Astyanax mexicanus: one gene and its partner. The protein of the gene in region 2 purifies or fractionates together with the protein of the main gene of each other region. This does not show direct contact. Links are inferred from orthologs where the notes say so. Each region holds a gene or a part of one and is shown on either strand. Other genes may lie near its edges.

Evidence for each region.
Region 1: the proteins of wasf2 (region 2) and brk1 purify together in Homo sapiens (co-immunoprecipitation; 3 studies listed by BioGRID and IntAct, with this or other methods). This does not show direct contact. The link is inferred for Astyanax mexicanus from reciprocal best matches to the Homo sapiens genes WASF2 and BRK1.

The regions. Positions count from the first base shown.
Region 1 is NC_064431.1:28,748,308-28,752,063, forward strand, and holds the start of brk1 (probable protein BRICK1), read left to right. Parts: upstream 1-914; 5' UTR 915-960; coding exon 961-1,078; intron 1,079-3,010; coding exon 3,011-3,093; intron 3,094-3,756. UniProt on the Homo sapiens protein: Involved in regulation of actin and microtubule organization. Part of a WAVE complex that activates the Arp2/3 complex. As component of the WAVE1 complex, required for BDNF-NTRK2 endocytic trafficking and signaling from early endosomes.
Region 2 is NC_064410.1:50,560,062-50,563,817, forward strand, and holds the start of wasf2 (wiskott-Aldrich syndrome protein family member 2), read left to right. Parts: upstream 1-1,454; 5' UTR 1,455-1,600; intron 1,601-3,756. UniProt on the Homo sapiens protein: Downstream effector molecule involved in the transmission of signals from tyrosine kinase receptors and small GTPases to the actin cytoskeleton. Promotes formation of actin filaments. Part of the WAVE complex that regulates lamellipodia formation.

The sequences.
Region 1 (3,756 bases), on a different chromosome or scaffold from region 2:
ACTTGGGCTGATAAAGCAGTGTCCAAAAACATTTGGTTAAATGGTGAAATGCCAATACCTGGGCTGATAAAGAAGTGCCAAAAACGTTTGGTTAAATGCTAAAATAAAAAAAATGAGTGCCAATACTTGGGATGATTAAAAAGGTTCCAAAAAAATTGGTCTAATGTTAGAATCCAAAAACCTTTGGATAAATGCTGGAATGCCAATATTTGGGCTGATAAAGAAGTGTCCAAAAACGTTTGGTTAATGATAAGGTTCAAAAACGTTTGGTTAAATGGTGGAATGCCAATACCTGGGATGATAAAGAAGTGTCCAAAAACGTTTGGTTAAATGTATAAGTCCAAACACGTTTGGTTAAATGCTAAAATCAAGAAATGTTTTGGTTAAATGGTGGATAAAGAAGTGTCCAAAAACATTTGGTTAAAAGATAAAGTCCAAAAACATTTGGTTAAATGCTTAAATATTGCTTAAATAAATGCTAAATCTAAAAACTTTTAGCTAAACGGTGGAATGCCAATACTTGGGCTGATAAAGAAGTGTCCAAAAACTTTTGGTTAAATGGTGGAATGCCAATATTTGGGCTGATAAAGAAAGGTCCAAAAAAATGTTGGTTTAATTTTAAAGTCCAAAAACTTTTGGTTAAATGGCTGATAGAGAAGTGTCAAATAAAGATGAACAAAAAAAATGTCTGATTCTAATTACCTTATTACTGCATAATTTTTTTGTAATATAAACTTTGTTATTAAAGATAAAGAAATCGAGATAAATAATAAAGATTTATGTCTGGTAAACAACAATAATATCTGCTTAATATCTGCTTTATTTTTTTTAAATGGAATAAACTGCAGAATGACCCACTTTTTCGAGGAGCCGTATACTGTTGAGTTTTTCGCCGCATGTTTGGCTGCAGGCGGCGCTGCGGAGCCACTAAAACAAACGCAGCGGCTTCAGTAGATCAACATGGCCGGACAGGAGGATCCAGTGCAGAGAGAAATCCACCAGGACTGGGCAAATCGCGAGTATATCGAAGTGATTACCAGCAGCATCAAGAAAATAGCCGATTTCCTCAATTCCTTCGGTGAGTTCGGCCAGAGGAGCGGGCTGGGGGCTGTGTGTAACCGGCCGTGAGCTGCGGTAGCCGCGGTGCTAACGGTGTTAGCTAGCGTGTGGAGGAATGAGGAGGGGCGGATGGATAACTATTAGCTGGTTAATGTGGGTTATCCCTGTTTTTAGATATGTTCACAGGCTTTTGGCTCGTTATTTAGAGCGTAACTGGAGCTGGGGAGGGTGTAGTGTACATATTTATACAGGACAAGTCGTCACCTAGAGAGCTAGTTTAGCCTTATAGCTTAGCTAACCTAGCCAGCTAGCTTAGCCCGTCAATATAAACATAAACATAGTGGACTCAGGCTACAGTAATGTTAATGCAGTTAGCTGGCGGGATAGATAAACTTTTTGAGTGTAATAAACCGTAAATGTGAGTCTTTAATATTACAGTACAGTGTATATAAATGTATATTTCTCATTATACCTCCTTAGCTACATATAAACCACTAGCTTCTTTTAGCTTCCTGTTTTTTTCTGGGTGCGTTCTGGTGGCGCTGCAGCTCAGTATGACTAATGCTAACCATACACCAGAGAACTTTAAAAAGACAGTAGACACCCAAAGACAAGTCACAGACTTTTTACTCACAGATAGACAGAGGATCACTGTTTGCAAGACTGCAATTAGATTATTTCTGAGATTATTTACCATCATGCTTCTGGTGGAGATTACATACAGTCGAATTACATTTTGAGTTACAAATAATGTGTACATCAATACTGTGATTTATTAGAGATTTACAGCTTTTGGCCCATCAACAGTTTATTTTTTAGTCACAATGTTACTTCTTGATATTTTTTAATATAATACATTTTGTGTTTAACTCTGCCAATTTGCTTATTTTCACTTTTTTGCTTCAACCTTGAAAAGAAAAGAATCACAGTTTCACTGCTATACCTATTTAACTTTGTTTTAGATAGAATCAATGCAATTAAGAACACCATTCTTGCAAAATGTGTATTTATTAAACTTGTTTGTATCAAAAATAACACTGAACAACAAGACAAAGTAGTGCAAAATAAAATAACTTTATATATATTGACTTTAAAGTGCTACTTGTGTTTAAAGTATTGTACATATTAAAGTAAGGTCCATTTAAGACGTATTAACTGCAAAATGTGTTTTTTTTTTTATCGTTTGTGAAGAGTCACGTAAAATATTAAGTAAAAAAGTAAGTAATATTGCTTTGCAGCTTCCTGTAGCTCTTCGATTGGTTGTTGACATTGTTCAGGTCACTATTTGTGTGAGCTAAGTCTCAAAACTTACGACAATATTTAACACGATCGATTTTATCTGGTCTTATCTGATTGTCAGGACGCGAAAAACACTGACTTCAATCCTAACCATCTTACACTGAACAATTAAGATGACACGACCGCAAATCAACTCTAGCAACACTCTTATGATTTTATCCTGACACTGGAAATTTGTCTGCGACAGTGAAATCGCTTGAAAATTGTTTATTTGCAAAATATTTTTAGCCAACTGGTTCTTACATAGACTGGTCACATCTTTAATCCCTCTTTTTCACATTAACTGGATAAACCAAAGAATAGGTCTATTGAAACTACCAGTAATAAAAAAGATAGAAAATATTTTGAAGTAGCTCAGCCAGTGTTGGCCAATTGTAATATTGCAGTCGGCATAGCTTGGTCCTTTTCCAGAATACAAGTGGCCAATTCCCTGTGATGGATATCTGGGATGTGCTTTATATATTGTCTTGTTTCTGTATGTTGACAGTAATGATTTTGACTGGCAGCATATGGCAAAAACAACTATTAAATGGATGTTTTTTTCTATATTGTACAAATGTCTACTGCTAAAAAATTGCTAAATAAACTATGCTTATGTACAAAAGTAAGAGTAACAATCAGTTTCTGAATATCTCTCTGCTTTCTTTACCAGATATGTCGTGCAGGTCCCGCCTAGCCACCCTGAATGAGAAGCTGACTGCCCTGGAGAGGAGGATTGAGTACATTGAAGCCAGAGTAAGAGCATATGTGGTGTTAAAAAGTCCATTAACAGCATTATACACTATTCCAATTAGCAGCCTGGTTCCTCTGTGTGGGTTCAGCTAAGCCATGAATCTGAACACAGATAATGCACATGCTTTTGATTGATTGAGGTCTGTCTCGCTGTCAGTGAAATAATCTGGTCTATATTCAGGTAGTCAGCTGACCTCATTCTTTCAGCACATACTGTTCCTGAACCTAGACCTGACCAACTTCAGCATCAACCCCACATAATTTGCTTAATTAAATCCAGGTGAAGACTTTTTTTTAGCTAGGAAATGTGGCATGTCAGAGAGCAGCCTCTCAGAACAGAAGACAGAATTTACGTGCATTTGTCATTTACATGCAAAACTCTACTCAACTATTAATAGTTTATTTTTTTAGACGGACATAATGCAATGCAAATAAAAAATATCGTCACGCTTTTGCATGTTTGCATTCTGCATTAGTTGAGGTTTGTGGCACAGATGTAACCCTCTAAACAGGAACTTGGTGAGTTGGACCATAGTGCTACAGCTCAGAATGAAACTGCTGGGTGTTAAATATTCAACTTAAGCAAATAAAAGACAGCTTGTTCAGCAACAGCCAAATCAAGCTAAAATAATTTATGTGTAAGCACAACTTTAATGTATCTTGTAT
Region 2 (3,756 bases):
AACTCACAGACCACTCGTTTGGTGTAAAATCACCAAATGCTCTCTCTCCTCTGCCAATCAGATCTGTGTAGACTGCTGCCCTGGCCAGTGAATTGGGACGCGGCCGGGAAAAACTTCTATATAAAGAGATCAGGAGCCGGAGAACTGGCTGAAAAACGAGAACGGACGGAAACTAAAGACACGCTGAGTGCGACAAAGAGACAGGAATGTACACACAATTATACAGGATATAGTTAAAAATGGCCCGGACCTTGCACTGACGAAATTTTCTCCAGCATTCAAAATCATAGACAACCTGTCAGGTAACAAACTGATGGATTGGTCACCTGTAATGTGGGACACTCATCAAAACCTGCTTTCACCTGTTACCTAATCACCTGATTATCATGAATTTATGAAATGTTCCAAAATATGTGTTCTGTATTGAATTACAATTTCTTAACTCATTTTGAGAATTGAGCAGACTATTCTGCAGATGATGACTTATACGATGAAATTGTGCTGACATGTTTTGGAGAGAACAACCATAACACTGAGAACCAACCAATTGGGATAGACCAACAAGATGCATTCTTTTGGAAAATGTGCTAAATGTAGGATGATTGTGTTAAGTGTAGGCTACTTGTACATAACCATTTGCAAAGATGTACTAAGTGCTTGAGACATGTACAAAGCATTTGAAATGTGATGAAAGCAATGAGAAATGCCATTCTGTTGTGAGGAACCGCAAGTTAGTTTGGGGATTTGTCCATATTATTTTGTAAATGTCATCTCAGTTTCAATAAATGAGCCAAACCAATGGAGAAAAACTGTAAGAGGGGGTGAATTGGAGTGGGAGGAATTGTCCAAAATACTGAGTATTTTTCCCAGCATCCTCCTCTCTGAAACCTTTAAGAGAGTCCAGCTCCACACCCAGTGCAGAGCCTGCTTTTCACCACAGAGTGATAAAACATCTTCAGCATTTTTTACACATATACAGTATTCAATAACTTGCGCATCACTTTAAATAATGATGTCTGTTTACAAATTTAACATGCTAAATTTGTTATGTAAGAATTAAAAATCTTAATAGCAATGGAAAATCAATCATATATATAATTAAAGAATATCGAGATTATTTTTATTTTTTACAGTATCGCCCAGCCCTACAACAGGGTGCTGTCCTGTTTCTCGTGCCTACACCTTTAAGCAGAGATTTGTGGAGCTTAAAGCGAGCATCTCTCCATATTTCGGATGTGTTGGAGCAGGCCCGCGGGTCAGGAATGCCCAGGCCGCGCTACTCCGCCGGGAACAGATGTTTTCAGCCCAAACGGGTGGAGCGCTGCTCTGCTCACAGCCACGACCACAGCCACACCCCTTCTGTACAAGACTGACAGCTGAATCAACCAATTGCGTGTGAGGAGCTACTTAAGCCGTCCAATGAAAAGTTAGTAAATCCGAGCCTCTGAAGTCAGCGCCCGATTGCTCTGGTGACGGCAGATGCGGACATTTTTCTCGGTTAGAGAGAGTTGAGCTGCGAGTTTCAGTAATGTTGAGGTAGTTAGCGAATTAAAGTGGTTGTTCGACTTCAGCAGAGAGGAGCTGTATCTTTCACCCTCGGGTAAGAGAGTTCAGGAAGTATTTTCAGGGTTTAATTCAGAAAAATAGCGAGTTTATGCTGTATTTTGGGCTGTTTAGGCGGCTAAGCTAACCTAGCTAACCAAAGATCTGGCTAGCTGCTAACTGCTTACTTCCTGCTGTGGAGCTCAGGGTGGGCCGCCCTGGGAGTTTTGCTCTCAGAAAGTTGAGAAGTTTGCCCTGTCTAATAGTTTGACGTCTAATATTTTACAGAATGCTTTAAAGTGCTTAAAACAGACCTTTATCTCTTTATTATCTGTCTAAACTCTTTCAAAACGAGTCTGATTTCGCTGAAGACTTGACTGTAAGTTACCTCCATACTGTGGCTAAGTTTTCTGGTTTATTATTAGCGTTAGCCATTATTTAATCCTTTCGATACGTTTTTGATACTGTACGTCTGTAGTCAACTAGTGAGTTAGGTAACTACATTTAGCGTTGTTTTATATCTGACTTCTGCTGTCACTTAATAAATGAAACTTCTGTTGGACGTTTAGTTAACGTTACCTTCATCTAGCTTGCTAGTACTTCCAGTTAGCTGTAAGCTAGTTCCAGGTCTTCTAAAGTCTGCTGTAAATATGCAGTAAATCTCAGTATGGATTAGCTACCTAGGTTAACTAGCCACTAGCTACTGTAATGCCTAGGCCTGCTATTTGGGTTGTTTGTAGCTACCTCCCTAAAGATTTGATCGTTTGTTTTATTAGTTTTTTTTAATTACATCTGGGTGTGTGTTCGTGTAGAGTTCTGTAAACTTCCTCTAAAAGAGGAAGGTCAGAGGACTTGATGGCATGCAGCTGTGTCTATGTTCCTCTGATAGTTACCCATATCAGCTGACAGTTATGGTGCTTAAATGTTATATTTAATAAAATAAAAAGTGTATTTTATGAAAGATGAAAAATATGTGAATGGCACTAGTCACTAACGTAAAACCTCAAACTTTTAAGATGTTTTGACATTTTGATTACAGCTGCAACTAATGATTATTTTGTTAGTCGACTAATCTGATGATTGTTTTTTGGATCAGTCAACATTTATTTCAGTCGTGACTTCCATTGCTTTAAAATGAAAAACATCTAAACGTAGGGTTTATATGCCTTTTAAATTACCAGAAGAGGTTTAAATGTGGACTATTATTTAGTGAGTAAATGTGCTATCTGTTGTGTTGGGGATCATTTACAGCATAGACATTCTGGTTTAAAATGCACATTACCATAATTTTACTCACTTTTCCTTTACCTATTGCACAACATTGGTCTGCACATACACATCTGTATTGCTGCACTTCATGCTTTACACCCAACAGTACCATTTTTTTCTTTTAACAGTATATATTAGACTACACATTAAAACTAAAAAAACATCATATTTCTGTATGTATCTATATGATAACAAGACAATATAAGATAACCATATTTACCATACTTGTGCTTGAGGCACAGATGGAATGTGGCCTTTACCTTAATACCATTAGTGTAGTGAACACGCCTATACACACCTGTGAGCAAGCTCACAACATATTTTGTAATCTCTCTTAGCTGGTCCTTTATTTTTTTTTAAATATGATTATCAGAGTTACTGATTACTATTAGTTGTACCATGAAAGACTAATTTAATTTGGCTTGATTTGAGCACCAGCACAATGGGCAATAGCTTTAGCTTGAATTGTTTTTTTGTTTGTTTGTTTTTTTCACAACACAGTGGAATTTAGTCACCACCTGATTTTGCAACATTTGGGGATTAAAGCATTGTGTGTTTGTTTAGAGTTGGGTCTAAACTGTACAGGAAAACATGTGCTTGTGAAAAGGTACTAATCAAGTGCCACTGTCTGAAAATATGCTGTTACATTTATAGATATATTTATCAGTCATATCACACTTTTTTATGTTAATTATACTACTTTAAAGGCTTGTTTCTATTTTTTTCTAGTATTCTATTCATAGTTTTATTACATTTTAGTGTTAAATAATGCTGTCCTGACAAGAGAGTCTCCCTGACCTTCCTTCTTTATGTGCTTGTATGTATGTCCAACAATGAGACAGTGTACAGAGTAACCCTAAACATTTCTATTTACCATAGTATTTCTAGTATATATAGTATATCTGAATCTGGACCGTGTTGAGTATGTCTGAACACTAATGAACT